4 linked regions of the Schizosaccharomyces pombe genome follow. The protein of the gene in region 4 binds, or shares a complex with, the protein of the main gene of each other region. Each region holds a gene or a part of one and is shown on either strand. Other genes may lie near its edges. The genes, in order: mrpl38, mrpl40, mrpl33 and mrpl37.

Region 1 (3,714 bases), on a different chromosome or scaffold from region 4:
AACGTGATCAACACGAACCAATCTGTCAAGTAACTTTACATTCGTCATATTGTCAACGGCAAGGACTGTCGAACGTTGATCCTCATATTTTAGAAAGGCGAAGCCTTTCGATTTTCCGGTTTCTTTGTCGCGCACTAAATTAATATCCACTGGCTCGCCAAACTCAGAAAACACACATAAAATATCATCTTCGTTCAAATCAAAATCTAAGTTGCCGATGTAAATATATGCACTATCACTATAATCTTGGTGCCAAGAACTGCTAAAAGGTTTATCCAACTCTTGCTCGTTTAAACGCTCAATTTGACGAATGGAGCTACTTTTGTTAATTTTAAAATTAAAAAACGAAAACAGCGAAAAGATGAATCGGATTTTTGCTATATTTTAGCCTCAATAGAAAACTTACTTCATAACAACCTAAGGTATTTTAAATGGTAATTAAACTTTGTAACAGATTGATTTCCAAATTTTTCTTTTAAAATAAAAAAAAAGATTGACAAAAATTAACAGTTGGAGGGCAAAATGGAGAAAAACAAGTTAGCGGCGGGTTTATGGCGTAGGCTTGAATTCCGGGCTTTGTAAAAAAGAAGATAAAACACGAGAATGGGTTTGAATAAGAGGATGTCCAGCAACTCTACATAATAATGTATTAGTTTTTGTGCAATTTAAAACGCTCTTTGGGGCAATAAGGCAAAATTAACATTCAATACTTACAGTCGTAAAAAATTTTCCAAACCTTGTCTACGTTCTTCGATAACATCATCTCTAAATCTTTGAGTGAATATCTTTCCTGGAAGTGGTGGAATTGAAACACGACCGGACTCTCTTTCAAGCATATCGTGAAATTTCTCGAATTCGCTGTAACGTCGACGAACGCTAGAATTATGTAGACGAAAATAGGGCATATTGGTCTACAAAAATGAGTTAATAATCTGCTATCAGAAGATGAATTTCAGTGGTACCTACCCGACAAACAATTTCATAAGTAGTAAACATGTTTCTTCCAATACCGTGAGTTTGTGGATTTATAACCTAAAATAACATCTATTAGAAATATTTCGAAATAATAAAGTAAACATACATCAATTTCAAGGATGTTTTCAGGAACATCATACATTTGTTGAGTAGTTTGCTGCCTGATTTCCGGTCTACTTAATTTATCCATTTATTTACCCTTATTACTCTTAAGAGCGATATCCAATATTATTTTACTGTTTAACAAGTAATAGTTGAAATTTTGAAGAAGTTTAAAAGTTTCGATACAAGGTGTAGTGTCTAGCTCAGATACGGGTACGGCTAATGAGATTCATAATCGGATCGCAAATTAGTAAGGCGTTTACTGTAAACATATCGCAGAGCATTTTTTCAAACTGCGTCGTCTAAAGATGAGAATGATAGTTCATTTGCTTCCAAAAAATAAAATGGATTCACTAACGTCCAAATCCTCCTCTCACTTTCAACAAAATTAACGAGTAATACAAAATCAAATATGTAGCATACAATCCATTATGATATTTTAATATGATAAGAGCAATTGCTAGTCAATATCACATTTTTGCTTTAATGACTATTCCACAACTCCATGCATGATGAAGAATTTGATTAAAACATGTGTAACAAGCAAAACATCAGAAGGTTAAAGCAAGATAACAGGTTATGACAAACAATTTGCTTGGAATAATTTCATATTTGAATGCATCTAATCAAATCGCTTTTTTTTTAATACAAACAGTTGTTTTTATTTATATATTTTGCGATGTGTTACATACTACGATATGCCAACTAACGTCAAATACCAAATTCTAATATTACGCATAGTGTAATTTATAGTGGAAGCGAGTACGTGAATGTATGGTCAAGTACTTGAATCTTTAGCAATGATCGGACTTAAAGGTATACTCAAAGTTATCGACAATTCCGTAAGTTTAAAATATTACTATTTGTACTAATAAGATGGAAAAGGGTGCTACCTTAGCTGAGTGCATTCGTGTAGTTCGCGCGGGAAAATTCGCTTCACTTGGTAAGTAGCACGAAGTGATCTTTTGTTTATATTCGACTAACATCACCTTTTTTTAAAAAACAGGTGATGAAGTGGTAGTAGTGGTAAAAAAGGCACGAAGCGGTTCATCAGTTACTGCTGCTAATAAAGTTAAACGCGGTGATATCCACCATGCTATCATTGTTCGGACGAAATCACCAGTTCGAAGACCCGATGGTCGTTATGTTCGTTTTGATGATAATGCCTGCGTCTTGGTTAATAAGGAGTGTGAGCCTCTGGGAACCCGTATCTTGTCAGTCGTTGCCAACGAGCTCAGAACAAAACATCATACTAAAATAGCATCTCTTGCTCCACGAACCATCTGAAAAGGGTATTGTAATGTTAATATTTCACTTAATTAAAATATATTTTTTAATTTTCTATTCTACGTCTAATTAAGGGACCTTGTCTCTTCAGCAAACACTTTTTACCTGATAGCCAATTAAGATTTTGCTTTTTTGGAGTTTTGTTACTCGTAAGCATTGTGGGGTTAAAAGGTTTTTACTACACACTTTTTTAGTAAAATACAGCTGTAGCAGGCTTTATTATATAGTCCATTATCTGTTAAATATATCTGATCGATCAAAAGAATTTAATGTTCTAGTAAGAATGGATTTGCTGGCGATTGATTTGGATTTTGATGTTAGTGAGTCAAAGCTTGAACGGAATAAGCGATTAAAACAGAAAGTAAGCATTGAAACTGATGGATGGACTCCAAGAGTTCAATGTTTTGGTGTATGTTACTCATTTTTTACTCCCAATTTATTGTCTATGATTTTAACAGATTATTCAGCATCTTAGTAAAAATGGCGTCGTCCTCGGTGAAGAAGCCTATATTTTAGAGCAATCAAAATTTGCAGCGGAAGAACAATATTATCTGGGAAACTATTCCTTAGCTAAAAAGTTTGCATTTCAAGCACTTGATGTTCCAACTGATAGTTCCAGCATTGAGTACCACAGACTGAGTTCAGGCGAAATCAATGAAATTGAAGACATCATCAGAAGATGCGAAATGAAACTTGAAAATAAGCAAAGCAATTAATTAGAAAAAATTTTTGTCTTGTCAAAGAGTACCTACCCAAAACTACACACTCTGTCTAATTTTTGTACATGATTTTCATGTGGAAACAGATTAATCACTACTTGTACCATCATCCTTTACAATTTGTCCTTGGTTTTGTTATTTGAATAAGAAATAAATTAATCAAATTCAATCGTGCATCATTTTTTGTATCATTAAATTTATAGTCTTTGTAGGCTTTTGAGTTATCGAGTTACCAATTATTCCTCATCAATCTTCATTAAAAAATTCTTTAGCGCTGTAAACCTTCCACGTTCCCATCCGCGTCAGTAAAGTAATCGATTTTATTAGTACTATAGGCTGACGCCGGAATTGCAGCTGGTGACATGATTAGAGGAGATGTAATAGATTGAGCAGCCGAACCCAGAGCCGCTGACAACGGTGTTGCAGGTACGCGGGCTATTGGGGACATCAAAGGAACAGGAGTGGCTAAAGATGACTCAGTGTAATGTCGAGCAGAGGAAGAAAGTAAGATAGTAAGATCTTTTGTAGATCTTGTTGCAGCTGAAAGACCAGCTAATACGCTTTTTTGGAATGTATATTCACTGGATAACGCTTTCGCTAAATTTGCGACTGCAATAATAGACTTGACAAA
Region 2 (4,153 bases), on a different chromosome or scaffold from region 4:
CACCTTAATATCGAAAAATATAGAACTAACTTTTACAAAGTTATTGACAGGGATGAACAAAAGCATGAATATACCGGCAATGGCTCGTATCACTCAGCAATTCGAGCGTGAAAATGAAATTATGGAACAGAGACAAGAAATGATTGATGAAAATATGGACGATGCTTTAGAAGAAGATGACGAAGAGGAAGCTGATGAACTTGTCAATAAAGTGTTGGATGAAATTGGAGTCGATTTGTCTCAAGGATTGCCAGATGCTGCGACCCAAATTGGTACGGTACCGGAGTTAAAGACTGAAGACAATTTACAAGCCAGATTGGATGAACTGGCAAAGCGTTAATTTTCGCACAAGAGATTAATGGACTTTAAAGATCTTGATTTGTATAGATTTTCTACATTGATTAGTAAAAGTTTTTCTAGGTTAACGTGTAAACTTCAAATACTTCACTTTCATTGAAATCACTTATCACTTACTCTACTAAGTTAAATATATTTAAGTTTCTTGAAAAATTTTTTAGAAGAGTTTACAAAAGTTTATTAAGCTTTATAACCTAGAGATTGTGAATCATTATGTAATGTTATAAAAAAATGCTTGCAACGACCAAACATCGTTTTTGTTTTAATCACTGTAAGTATTAGGAGAGATGGGTTTTTTTATTAAATCTTCAGCAGCAGTCTCTGCTCGGACAAGATCTTTAGCAATTTCAGTAAAATCATCATTGTTCTTTTTATATCCCCATATACGATCTAAACGGCGAGACCAATTGGCTCGTAAATCGCCAATTGCAAACGGAGGAAGAGGAGGCTCCGATAAGCTAGGAGACCAAGTAACTTTACTAACTACTGGATTCTTAGTATCGAGTTTACCTTCGGGATCTTTAGGCTTATCTTCAGTCTTGGGACGAGGAAGATGAATAGTATGAATTTGTACTCCTTCAATATTAGGCCGAATAATGGACCGGAGATTAGTTGAGGAATGCTTTTTAAGCTTAACTGGAATAAGAACTGGTTCCCCGGCGTCAGTCTTTGCATGCGCAAGAAGACGCACATTTGCATAATGTACTTCGTGAGCAATATCAATTACTGGATCTTGGTTATCTTCAGGCTTATTTCGCAAAAGAAAAATTGGTACTTTGACGGATCTCACATTAACCCCCTCTATGGTAATACCGTTTGTGTATTTGTTTGTCTCAACAACACGGCCCCATTTTCCTTTCAGAGGTCCTTGATGAACATATACATAATCCCCTTTAAAAATATGCCAGAAAGGGACTCTGTCAGCTGGCTTTCCAAACGGTAACTCGGGTTTAGCGGATTTATCGTCTTTAACAGTTGGATCAGATTTATTGAGGTGTTCGCGTATTTTGGTTCGCATATGCAACGGTAAAGGCTTTTTCATTTTTAAGACGTTAGTACCAGGGCCTCGGAGCCTTGGAATTAATTTACGCAAGTCTCTCATTCTGCTCAAAAAGTTTTATAATATTTAAATAACTAACGGTGGTACATCACTTGTACAGAGGAATTTACTACGCTGTAATGTTGGAACGAAAGTAAAACCTCTAGACAGGATAAATATGGCCAAATATAAGAGAAAAAATAAGAATGCTATGAAACAGTAATGTGTATCCTGCTGGTAGTTTGCAGTTGTTATTTGAGTACTCTCTTCGTCAATAAGTAAAGAAATGGATCATTGTTACACAAAGGCAACTTTGCGATACGTGGTTAAGTTTCATTATTTAAAATTTGCTTTTGCTTTTGCACGCAATATTCTACAGCTTCGACATCGTTAACCAACATTAAAATGATGTGTACTCGTTAAGACAATGTCATTCTATCTATTTGTTTATAAGTTTAAAATTGAAAATGTTAAGCGAAATCGTATAGAAACGCTTCGCAAGTGGTTGTGTTAATATACTAGGATGTAAGATTGAAGTTTTGTCGGATAACTCAAACTTAGTCGATACTTCTATTGTTTTCTACTTTTTTTTTAGTATTTGCTGAATTTAGGTAATAATTTTTAAAAGCCTAATATCATTCGTGATTTGTAAACTGGTTTAGAAAACCCGACAAATAACTTGCACTTATATTAAATATTTAACCATAAGGTTTTCCAAGATTATGTTAACATCCGAAAAATGATTGGAACCATCCTTTTGCCTTTCAGGCTCGCAAATATCAAATTTTTGTTTAATTTTCAGATAAATCTAAATACCGATATATAGTGTATGGATTGTTAACCTGTTTAACAGATTTAGGCGTTGGATTAAAACACTATAATTAGAGAAGGTGAGAATAACAAAAAATAATCCAAAAAAGTACCCATCTTGAGCAAAATGGTTATTAGTCAACCTGTTGGACAAATTCGTCTAACCAATGTGTCCGTTGTAAAATATAAGAAAGGAGGGAAAAGATTTGAAGTTGCTTGTTATAAAAATAAAGTTACAGAATGGAGAAACAAAATGTATGCATGATTTCATTAAATTAAGCTACTGTAATTAGTGAGAGTCAGCCTTTGCTACAGATAAATATTCTTTAAGATCAGCAGAAAATTATAACAAGCTATCTTTTTGAATTCACGTGTCTTGTCGACTGGTGTCAACAACTCAATAACTCGTACAATTTTTTTTGATCAAAACCATAGCTAACCAAGTTTAGTGAAACAGATCTGGATGAAGTTTTACAAATCCACAATGTGTTTAACAATGTTTCTAAAGGACATGTAGCTAGCCGACAGGATTTGAAAAAGGCTTTTGGTACAGATGATATAGATAAAATTATTTTAGAAATTTTGCAAAAAGGAGATTTTCAAGTAGGTGAAAAGGAAAGACATCATCAAATGTCTTCAACTTATCGCGATATTGTCTCCCATGTTACTGCGATGTGCATGGATCCTAATTCTAAACGACCTTATCCAGCATCTATAATTGAAAAAGCATTATCTGATTGTGGCTTTTCTGTCTCTACCAGTAAAACTGCAAAGTCCCAAGCTCTGGAAGCTATTAAGAAATTGCAAGAAAAAAACGAAATTCCTATCGTCCGTGCGCGTATGCGCATCAGAATAGTGGTGGATGTCAAACAGGGAAAAGCTTTACGAGAGCGTTTACGCTCTTTAGCTGATGAAATTGAAGAAGAAAACATTGATGATGAATATGAGTGCATAGCTCTCGTGATTCCAGGGAATTATAAGTTGATAGATGAACTTGTCCGAAATGAGACCAAAAACCGAGGTATGGTTCAAGTACTCGACATGAGCGAGGCTAGGACTTAAAAAGGTATACAAATAACCTTTCTGAAAATACGCTCTATATGAATTCCCTAATCTGTTTTCCTCCTCCTTTTTGCTTACATTGTTCATTGGCTTTTGGTTTTGAAAAATTTTGCTATTAAAAGACACGTTCTGATTCGTTCTGGTTATCCAGAACATTATTTAATTTATCAATATAGCAATTCAGTTCAGAAGAAAGTAAAAAGAAAGTAAAGAAATGAAATTAAAAGACTATCGTCCCTTTCATTTCTGCTAGTTCCATTCAAAGCACGCATTCAAATGTGAAAATGAAAGTAGCGTGAGTGATTTGTAGAATGTTGAACCCTTACCACAATGCTTTCAGTTGTTCAACAATTTAATGATGAGGATATCTATAGTGTACGATTTCGGATTGTAATATCACCTATTTACAAACAGTAATTGTAACTAAAGTATACATTTTGCTTAACAGCAGTGTGATATAATACTGCGTTAATACTTTTAAGCAAATTTGACGAAATTCGTAGCATGTTCTTCAGATTCGGTATTTTGCGACATGGAATTGGATTGTGCAATAAGTTTTTGAGACTTCAAACCCATCGTATACTTTTTTTTAACTCTCTTTTATTTGTACTTAAGTTGCTCATTCTTATCTCAATTTTTTTTAGTTGCAATTTTTTGTAAGGATTTAAATTATTTCATTCTTAAATTTTAAATTTTGAGAGATTATACGCAACTTATTAAAATGGGGAAGATTAAAAACAAAATTGTCCGCCAACAGCAGTATATGAAGGCTCTTCATCAAAAAAATAAGGACAAGCTTGAAAGAAGAAAAGAACGTGCTAAAGAAGAAGAAAAAGACCCGGAAAAGAAGAGATTGCGACTTTCAGAAAATATTCCCGCTACTAT
Region 3 (3,860 bases), 970 kb from region 4:
CCTTCGATCACCCAGGTCTGCTGAACTCTGGTAGATAAACTATCTTGAAGAAGCTTCCCCAGAAACCTGTCTATTATACATTCAAGTAATGTACAATCATTGAAAAGTTTTTTTTTAGTGTTCAGTCGAGTGCGAATTTTTATTAAAAAGCGCTAAGCAAGTTTGGCTTAAAAAAAAAAAAAAAGGATTCTTCTTTATTATTGCTTCAAATTTTATTATACTCGAGTCGTTAAAAATATAAACCACTACGAGAAAAGAAAAAAATTGACCAACATTGTAAAAAAACTTATTGTCTTATAGGGTACAGGTTCCTCCTTGCCTCTTCAGACACGACGTCCCATATGGTAGTACAAGATAAATGGAAGAGAAAAGCGACATTAGCGTATAAAAAAAAGCATGACATTCATGATGCACCTGTAAAACCTCGTAAAAAAAATTTGGGAAATAACGAATGGAGATTTAAAAATGCAGGGGAATACTTTGATGAAGATAACAATGAGGAAGAATATCCAAGTTTGGAAAGTTTGAAGACCGTGGGGAATGGAGATACAATTCAAGATGAAGAAGAAGATTTCGAGTATTCAAAACTACAAGCACGGCCCCTTACTGGTTTGGGAATTAGCAACCAAAAACCCAAGTCCAAAGTTCGGACTATCCAACGTGAAGAAGTAGCCGACATGTTGGAGAGCGTTGAGCATGAAAAGTCAATTCAAGAATTCCGTAAGCGTTATAATGTACAAAAGCCAAAGGTAAACATTAGCCATGCTGAAGCGGAAGAAGATATTGATTCTTTTCTTGAAAGTATGGATCAGTCTGCTCCGCCTTCCATTACAGAAGATAAAGGGGAAAATTACATTTCTTCTAATCATTCCAGCATGCATATTTCAAGAAACGACTCTAGGAACTATATGTCTGAAAAGCCAAACAAAGACCAAAGTTGGTTAGATGAACTATTACGATAAATATAACTAGAATGAAAATTTAACTTTCAAACATGTTATTCAATTCTTTTAAACCGTTATTGTATCGATGTATCACTGTAAATCCGCTACTAGAAGCAAGAGACTTCTTTTCTTGCCCAGCGGCTAACTTTTGTTTCACAGTACTGACACTAACGAGTTCTTTTACTTTAAAAATTCTTCCCGCATTGATTGGATTTACATCGCAATAGACTACGGAGTGTCTTTTTGTTAACCTCAAAGAATGCAAAACGCTGCGCACCTTACTAAAATATTGGTTAGCAATTACAAGCATGTTTTTCTCGTTTCCAAAACACGTACCTCGAGAGCCCGATGGCTGACCTTTCTAAACGAACTCGAAAGAATGACATTATGGTAAACTAGAAGTTCGTGGAGTCCGTTTAACACTAAATATTGAAACTCTTTTAGTTCAACCGATAAAATACAATTCATATCGCAAGCTCGTTATTGTTCACTATTATTCACTACGTTGCTATCTATTTAACGATACATTGAATTACGATGAATTTTTTGCGATCCACATTTAGTGGAATGCAGTATATTAACTACAATGTTATATTTATTGTTATAAGAAGTCTATTAGTGTAAGTCACCGATATGGTTAAAAAATGGAGAGGAGCGATTTACAGTAACATCTATAATTATCATCTTTCTAGTAGTTGTAATCACATGGTGTCTATGAGTATAGACGACTACTTATCTGTTTACTGTCAATAAACGGATCTTTACTAATATTCCAACATGTAACATATAGTGATACGCAACCTAGTAAATCATTAGTGTAATGCAGTATTACCGATATATCACAAAAAATTATGTTAATTGGTATTACGTGTCTGCTTCACAATGCTAATATCATATTAACGATGTTCAATGGATTATTATTTTTAAGATGTGAAATTTGGCTGGGATAAAACTTTTTCTTTACCAAAATGGCACTTCGTGCTCAATTCGAGAATTCTAATGAGTAAGTTTACTCAGCTTTTTTGCTTAATAGACGCATGATATTAACAAATTATAGGATTGGTGTCTTTTCTAATCTCACAAACTCATACGCACTTGTAGCGCTTGGAGGCTCTGAAAACTTCTACAGGTAAGCTTAACGTTTATTTGATGCCAAAATTTAATGTTCTAAATGTAAACGATTCAAAATTTTTTTAAAGGTTCTTAAAATCCTTAACCAGTCGAACGTATTATGAGAAAAATAAATAGCACATATGTGAATGATGTAGCCTAACTACTCTTTAATTGAGTAAAAGAGACTTTGCTACATAAATGCAAACCACTACTTAAACTCTGGCGGTTTGCTGTTCATTACCTTTATTATTCCTTGACTCGATGCAGCTCGACAAATTATTTTTTTTGGCATTTTTTACATTTATCAACTTTTCACTAACTTTTATAACAGCGTGTTCGAGGCAGAGTTAGGTGATGTTGTACCCGTTGTTCATACCACAATTGGAGGAACCAGAATCATTGGTCGTTTGACATGTGGTAATAGAAAAGGTCTGTTAGTTCCCTCTTCTACCACCGATAATGAACTACAGCACCTCCGCAATTCTCTTCCAGATCCTGTCAAAATCCAACGTGTTGATGAACGACTTTCAGCTCTAGGAAACATTGTGGCTTGCAACGACTATGTGGCCCTTGTTCATCCTGATATTGAGCGTGAAACCGAGGAAATTATTGCTGATGTCTTAGATGTTGAAGTTTTCCGTCAAACCGTTGCAGGCAATGTTTTAACCGGTTCGTATTGTGCATTGAGCAATCAAGGTGCTTTGGTTCACCCTCGTACTAGCATTCAGGAACAGGATGAATTGTCATCACTTCTTCAAGTTCCTCTTGTTGCCGGTACCATCAACCGTGGTTCCGATGTTATCGGTGCTGGTCTAGTTGTGAACGACTGGTGTGCGTTTGCTGGACTTGATACTACGGCTACTGAATTGGCTGTCTGTGAATCTATATTTAAACTTCAAGATGCTCAACCTTCTGCTATTATAAGCAACAGAGACACTCTTGTTGAGTCTTATACATAAGCAGTCGGTGTGAGCTAACTAAAAAATTATTGATCAGGATTTATGAGTTTGGATAATTCATCCTACGTGATATTTTCCTATTAAAGTTTTAATGTTGATACGTTATACGTATGTATCTGGTTATAAAATTTTTGATATGCCTTTCGGTTTAATAGTCCTATCCATTGTGGTACCCAAGCTTCCTATTGTAGAAATTTACAATACAAGTTTTTTATAGACCATTATAACACTTAAGGGACTTCCGTAATCGTGTTTATTTTTATTATGTCAAATAGATTTTGAAAATGCTTTTATTGCTTTGCTTTTTGTCTGTTCTTAACACATTCGGATTTGTTAAGCTATTCTCGCTTATAGAGTAGAGCTTCTTGCTAACGCTGCATGAGACTTCGTACTTCAATTTACGTGTTTTATTAAGTAGTTTGCAGCCTTTATATTAAAAATGATCTAATAAATATACTTTCTTTTCAGTCTTTGGTGACAAACTAGTTATGGAAAGTATTTCGATGTAGGTATTTTTTGACTGAAACCAATGCGTACTCCGCAAGCGAAATAAATATTTAAGAATAAATTAAGTTACCAAGTAACTATACAAAGTGGGGAAGTAGAATAGACTACAATACTCATAGATATTTATATTTAGCAGTAAATAAAACTCGTAAAAGATTGTCATTATCAGGATGTTTTGATTAAAACTTCCACGGAAACTAAGGCCCAGCTCCAAATTTTGAAAGTAAAACCCCTAATTAGGGAATAAATAAGTAGGCAGAGCACCTTGAAAAATAACTAGATATTAAACTTTAATACCATTTGGTACTTGATTTTCTTCGTCGCTCGAGTTCTGTAC
Region 4 (4,118 bases):
GTCGTATTAAGCTGCCAATAGATGAGCAATTTTTAGTGGAAGTATCGTTAACTAATTCATCGAATATCGGATTGAATGTGCAGCACTGATTCAACTGGTTAACATATGTACTTCTGAGCTTCAACTTGTCTTTTGCGATGATTGCAGGAATATAAAATTGTTTTTTCTTAACCATAACAGTTTGACTAGACCATGGAATTAGAGCAACATATAGCCATAGCCCAATTTTCTCATCTTCACTTAATTTCATAAGTTTAGGAAACGTCAATGCAAGACTCTGAAATAAAGACTCGGTAGCTTCCAATGCCTTTGGAATTTGAAATTCTTTTTCAGCTGGCAAAGTATCGAACGTAAACTGATACGTGTTCGTTGAATATAACAGTTGAAGTGCTAGCTTCGCGTTTGCACCCTTCAACATTTTCTCAATTTCCTCTCCTACACGTTCCTTGCTAACCTTTTTTTCAAAAGCTTTACATACTTTCGGATCTTGGATAGCGGAAACGACCGACGGATCAATTGTAAATTCAAATCTGGATGCAAACCGAATGCCTCTCAAAATTCGTAAGGGATCTTCCAAAAATGATTGGAGAGGTGAAATGGGCGTGACCAACACTTTGGTTTGCAAATCTTTATATCCTCGCTTTGTAATGTCCTCTATTTTTTCTGTTCGTATGTTAAAGAATAGGGTGTTAACCGTGAAGTCTCTTCTCAATGCATCTGTTTCAACAGTTCCTGGGGTAACGCTAGGAATTCGACTTTTATCATCATATGATTCTGCACGAAGTCCTACAAAATCAATATCAAGGTCAAATAGGGATAAGGTAGCAGTTTCTAAATGCTTGCTTTGATCGGGATTGACAGTTAGCTTGCCAAGTGCGTCTTTATATGGAATAACTGAGTCAGAGTCGAGAGAGTGAACATACTCAAATATTGAATTTGCAAAGTCAACACCGGTAACTTTATTCAACGTAACGTCTAAATCGTCACTAGAAAGCCCAAGAAGTTTATCGCGAACCCATCCTCCTGCCAATCTAACTTCCAATGACGAACTGCTGCTGGATTTAGATTCAATAAAATCAGCAGTCTTTTTCAAAAGATTAACAACTTTTTTCTCAACATCGTTCAATACAATTCTAGAATACATTTTCGTCAGCCAAATTCCATAAACGATACACAGTTTGGGCAATACCGGTTTCTCTAAGGTTGGCAGGTTGAGGTTTGAATATGCTTCTCTTAAAGAAGGACATGTAGTAGTAATTTTTTTTATGCTACAAATGTATATCACTGATATAAGGTTATTTAATATATTTTTATTTTAAAATGATTTTTGGATTCTGGGAAATGGTAAAGTAGCGAATGTCATATGCCTCAAAAAAAGTAAACAAAAAGAATGGATCAAATGCTCATAAGGATAGAGAGGAGATGGAAAATTAAGAGTTTCAAACATTCTAAAAGGTAATTATTTTTTAGTAAGAAAGTTAGCCGCTCGAATGGCACTTTTACGAGCATGACTTCGGGCAGTCTTAGAATTGGGAGCTGGCTCATCCAGAAGAGACCATAACCATTCTGGATATTCATGATCTTCACGAGCTACAGGGTCGACGCCACCCGCCTTTATACACAGTCCCTTTAATATAGTACCTGGAAGGACAGAACTAGTGTGCGTTTTATTAGCGACTTTTTGAGCTGAAGAAGTGGCATCCGAATTATGCTGTGGCTTTTTGGGTGAAACACGAGAGGATACATAACTTCGTTTAACTAATGATGAAGAAGAGTTACGGGAACTTCTTAAAACCAATGTGTTAGAGTAGCATGAGAATTGAGAGATACCGCGAGTAATTGCGCGCGATAAAGGGGCCATTGACTCGATAAATGGCATTGCTTAGACAGTAAACAAAAAACTTTGCAAGGAGGATAAAATCTTTAACCAAAAGTGGATCAAAGGCGATGAAAAAGGTCAATAGTAACGCCTTCGCATATATAAGGAGCAAATACGTCCTGCTCTTTGAGTGAAAAGTTTTAGAGAATAATATTATTTCAAGTACTATAGGAAATAAAAAATGACTCTATAAAGAGCCGCTTTCAAAGTTCAAGGAGTTTGGTTATGGGACAACCTGGACGTTACTATACAACTCATGTACAGATGGGTAGCAGACACAGGTACATGTAAGGGTTTCAAGCGTCTGTTTACAATTTGGGAATCAAAATAAAATTTTTGTTTTTGTTTTTTTCATAATTATAAACTATTGCTAAGTTCAAATGGGGTGTCGTTCTAACAAGAATGTCATTAAGTTTACAATAATAATACCAAGCACGCTTGAGTACTATAGGAATACTTATGAAATAAAGTAAAGCACAATCTATCAAGTGAGACTCTAGAAATGTTAATCGAAAATTGTATTTGTCTGTGTTCGACTATGTAAGAAAGTCAAAGAAATAAAATAATATGATTTATTTTTACAATAAATCATTAGCACATTAGAATATTTCTACTTCATTCATTTTTCTCAACTTGCAATGTTTCTTCGACAATCACTTGATTGTTGTAAATGGTAAAGAACCATTAGGTGTTATTTGGGATATTGAGGAACAATCTAGTAGTACGGTTTAAATAAAGAGAACATATATAGATTTTAGAATTAGTATTCAATTATGTTTAACGTTATGTCCTTCATTCGATACGTCAGAATTACCATTTTTTTTACTTGCGAAATGTACTTATTCCACACAGTTAGCGACTGATCCATTGAGGATCGAGAAGCGCTTGCAATCACTTTTTGTTAAAGAAAAATAGATTTACAATAAATTTGACAAATTGTACTAGTCGGTGTCTTAAGTCACTCGGGACAATTGAAAAAAATAAATCACTGACTTGCGAACTCTTCTTAGTTAATAGTTACACCTTTATGGGTGTTTTCTTAAAATTTCGCCAAGTTTTACTTTAGATAGAACATAAATCATTTAAAGTATTATCCATCTCATGAAAACAATAAAAAATCTGCAAGAAGATCAATAAACAAGCTTTAACCATCAGGTTATTCTCTTACTAGAATTTCATTATTTGCCTCGATAAATTCCTATAACATATTTCTCTAAGGCTCTTCGATATTCATTTTACAAATAAAAAAAATCATGCCGACAACGGCAGGATTCGAACCTGCGCTCCCAAAGGGAATCCGCTGGGCTACAGAATAGCAGGCGAACGCCTTAAAACCACTCGGCCACGTTGTCCTCCGTTGAGACGATTAGTATTAAGTAGATTATGTATTTAAATTTAATAAATTTATAAGAGATTATTTAGTGTACCGAAATAGTTTTAAATTCATTTATTTAGTATATTTTTGCTTATAACATTTCCGGTTCATTTTGGAAACGATTTAAATAAAGAAATTTTACAATTTTGTAAAAATGTATGCTTTCAATGTACAATTACGATTTTCCCTATTTTGCTTTTCTTACACTGAAGGAAATGCTTGTGATTTCCTCGATCAATATTTGATATCCTATTTTTTTCCCTCATTTATTTTCTGGGGGTTTTTTTTTCTTTCATCCTGTAGAGAAATTGTATATACTTTCTGTTTATTTCTATATTACTATAAGATGGGGATTTAGTTTTAAATAGTAATGAACCAAATTAAATTACATTGAACTTATCAATAGTATTATGCTTTGTGCTTCTGCGATTTATTTTTTTTATTTTTTAAAATTATTTTAATTTATTTTTGATGATTCGGGATTGCTTGTTAAAATATTCTCTTGTCAGCTTTCTACATAGTGCCATTTAAATATAGGTAAAAGATATTGCAATTGAAATCAACATATCTCCTAGCACAATATTAACCATTTGCGAATCCATTTAATAAATAATGCCTATTCCTACCATATGCATTAAAAAAAAAAAAAAAAAAAAAAAAAAAACACTTTGAATATTTATTTAAGCAAAAAGTATAATGTTTAATAAATGGTTCCATGAGATTTGATAAACTGTTCATTTGATGGTGTTTGACCTTTATATACTGCTTTAAATACACGTTGGAATTATCACAAAGAACAAGAACTTGTTCAGAGCTAGGATTCGAAAATAGAAATAAGTATATTTACACTGAATAAGTTTACTA

What was found.
Region 1: mrpl37 (region 4) and mrpl38 share a complex: the UniProt entries of both Schizosaccharomyces pombe proteins name them as parts of the mitochondrial large ribosomal subunit.
Region 2: mrpl37 (region 4) and mrpl40 share a complex: the UniProt entries of both Schizosaccharomyces pombe proteins name them as parts of the mitochondrial large ribosomal subunit.
Region 3: mrpl37 (region 4) and mrpl33 share a complex: the UniProt entries of both Schizosaccharomyces pombe proteins name them as parts of the mitochondrial large ribosomal subunit.

The regions. Positions count from the first base shown.
Region 1 is NC_003423.3:3,549,471-3,553,184, forward strand, and holds mrpl38 (putative mitochondrial ribosomal protein subunit L38), read left to right. Parts: upstream 1-1,873; 5' UTR 1,874-1,877; coding exon 1,878-1,919; intron 1,920-1,962; coding exon 1,963-2,020; intron 2,021-2,083; coding exon 2,084-2,364; 3' UTR 2,365-2,421; downstream 2,422-3,714. Other genes in the region: RNA-binding protein Cwf29, read right to left, coding at 1-316, 407-411; sorting nexin Snx3, read right to left, coding at 550-634, 715-911, 967-1,032, 1,082-1,165; SPOM_SPBC887.08 (uncharacterized protein), read left to right, coding at 2,648-2,773, 2,832-3,080; leucine-rich repeat protein Sog2, read right to left, coding at 3,352-3,714. UniProt on the Schizosaccharomyces pombe protein: Component of the mitochondrial ribosome (mitoribosome), a dedicated translation machinery responsible for the synthesis of mitochondrial genome-encoded proteins, including at least some of the essential transmembrane subunits of the mitochondrial respiratory chain.
Region 2 is NC_003424.3:2,671,286-2,675,438, reverse strand, and holds mrpl40 (mitochondrial 54S ribosomal protein uL24m), read right to left. Parts: upstream 1,647-4,153; 5' UTR 1,460-1,646; coding exon 620-1,459; 3' UTR 501-619; downstream 1-500. Other genes in the region: ESCRT III complex subunit Did4, read left to right, coding at 41-340; SBDS family ribosome maturation protein Sdo1, read left to right, coding at 2,334-2,461, 2,656-3,268; Brix domain-containing protein Rpf1, read left to right, coding at 3,990-4,153. UniProt on the Schizosaccharomyces pombe protein: Component of the mitochondrial ribosome (mitoribosome), a dedicated translation machinery responsible for the synthesis of mitochondrial genome-encoded proteins, including at least some of the essential transmembrane subunits of the mitochondrial respiratory chain.
Region 3 is NC_003421.2:2,221,242-2,225,101, forward strand, and holds mrpl33 (mitochondrial 54S ribosomal protein uL30m), read right to left. Parts: upstream 1,342-3,860; 5' UTR 1,331-1,341; coding exon 1,281-1,330; intron 1,226-1,280; coding exon 982-1,225; 3' UTR 963-981; downstream 1-962. Other genes in the region: SPOM_SPCC1919.07 (uncharacterized protein), read left to right, coding at 342-962; tif6 (translation initiation factor-like ribosome biogenesis protein), read left to right, coding at 1,913-1,947, 2,002-2,073, 2,389-3,016; myo52 (myosin type V), read right to left, coding at 3,807-3,860. UniProt on the Schizosaccharomyces pombe protein: Component of the mitochondrial ribosome (mitoribosome), a dedicated translation machinery responsible for the synthesis of mitochondrial genome-encoded proteins, including at least some of the essential transmembrane subunits of the mitochondrial respiratory chain.
Region 4 is NC_003421.2:1,252,306-1,256,423, reverse strand, and holds mrpl37 (mitochondrial 54S ribosomal protein mL54), read right to left. Parts: upstream 2,107-4,118; 5' UTR 1,880-2,106; coding exon 1,460-1,879; 3' UTR 1,198-1,459; downstream 1-1,197. Other genes in the region: cca2 (ATP/CTP tRNA nucleotidyltransferase), read right to left, coding at 1-1,144. UniProt on the Schizosaccharomyces pombe protein: Component of the mitochondrial ribosome (mitoribosome), a dedicated translation machinery responsible for the synthesis of mitochondrial genome-encoded proteins, including at least some of the essential transmembrane subunits of the mitochondrial respiratory chain.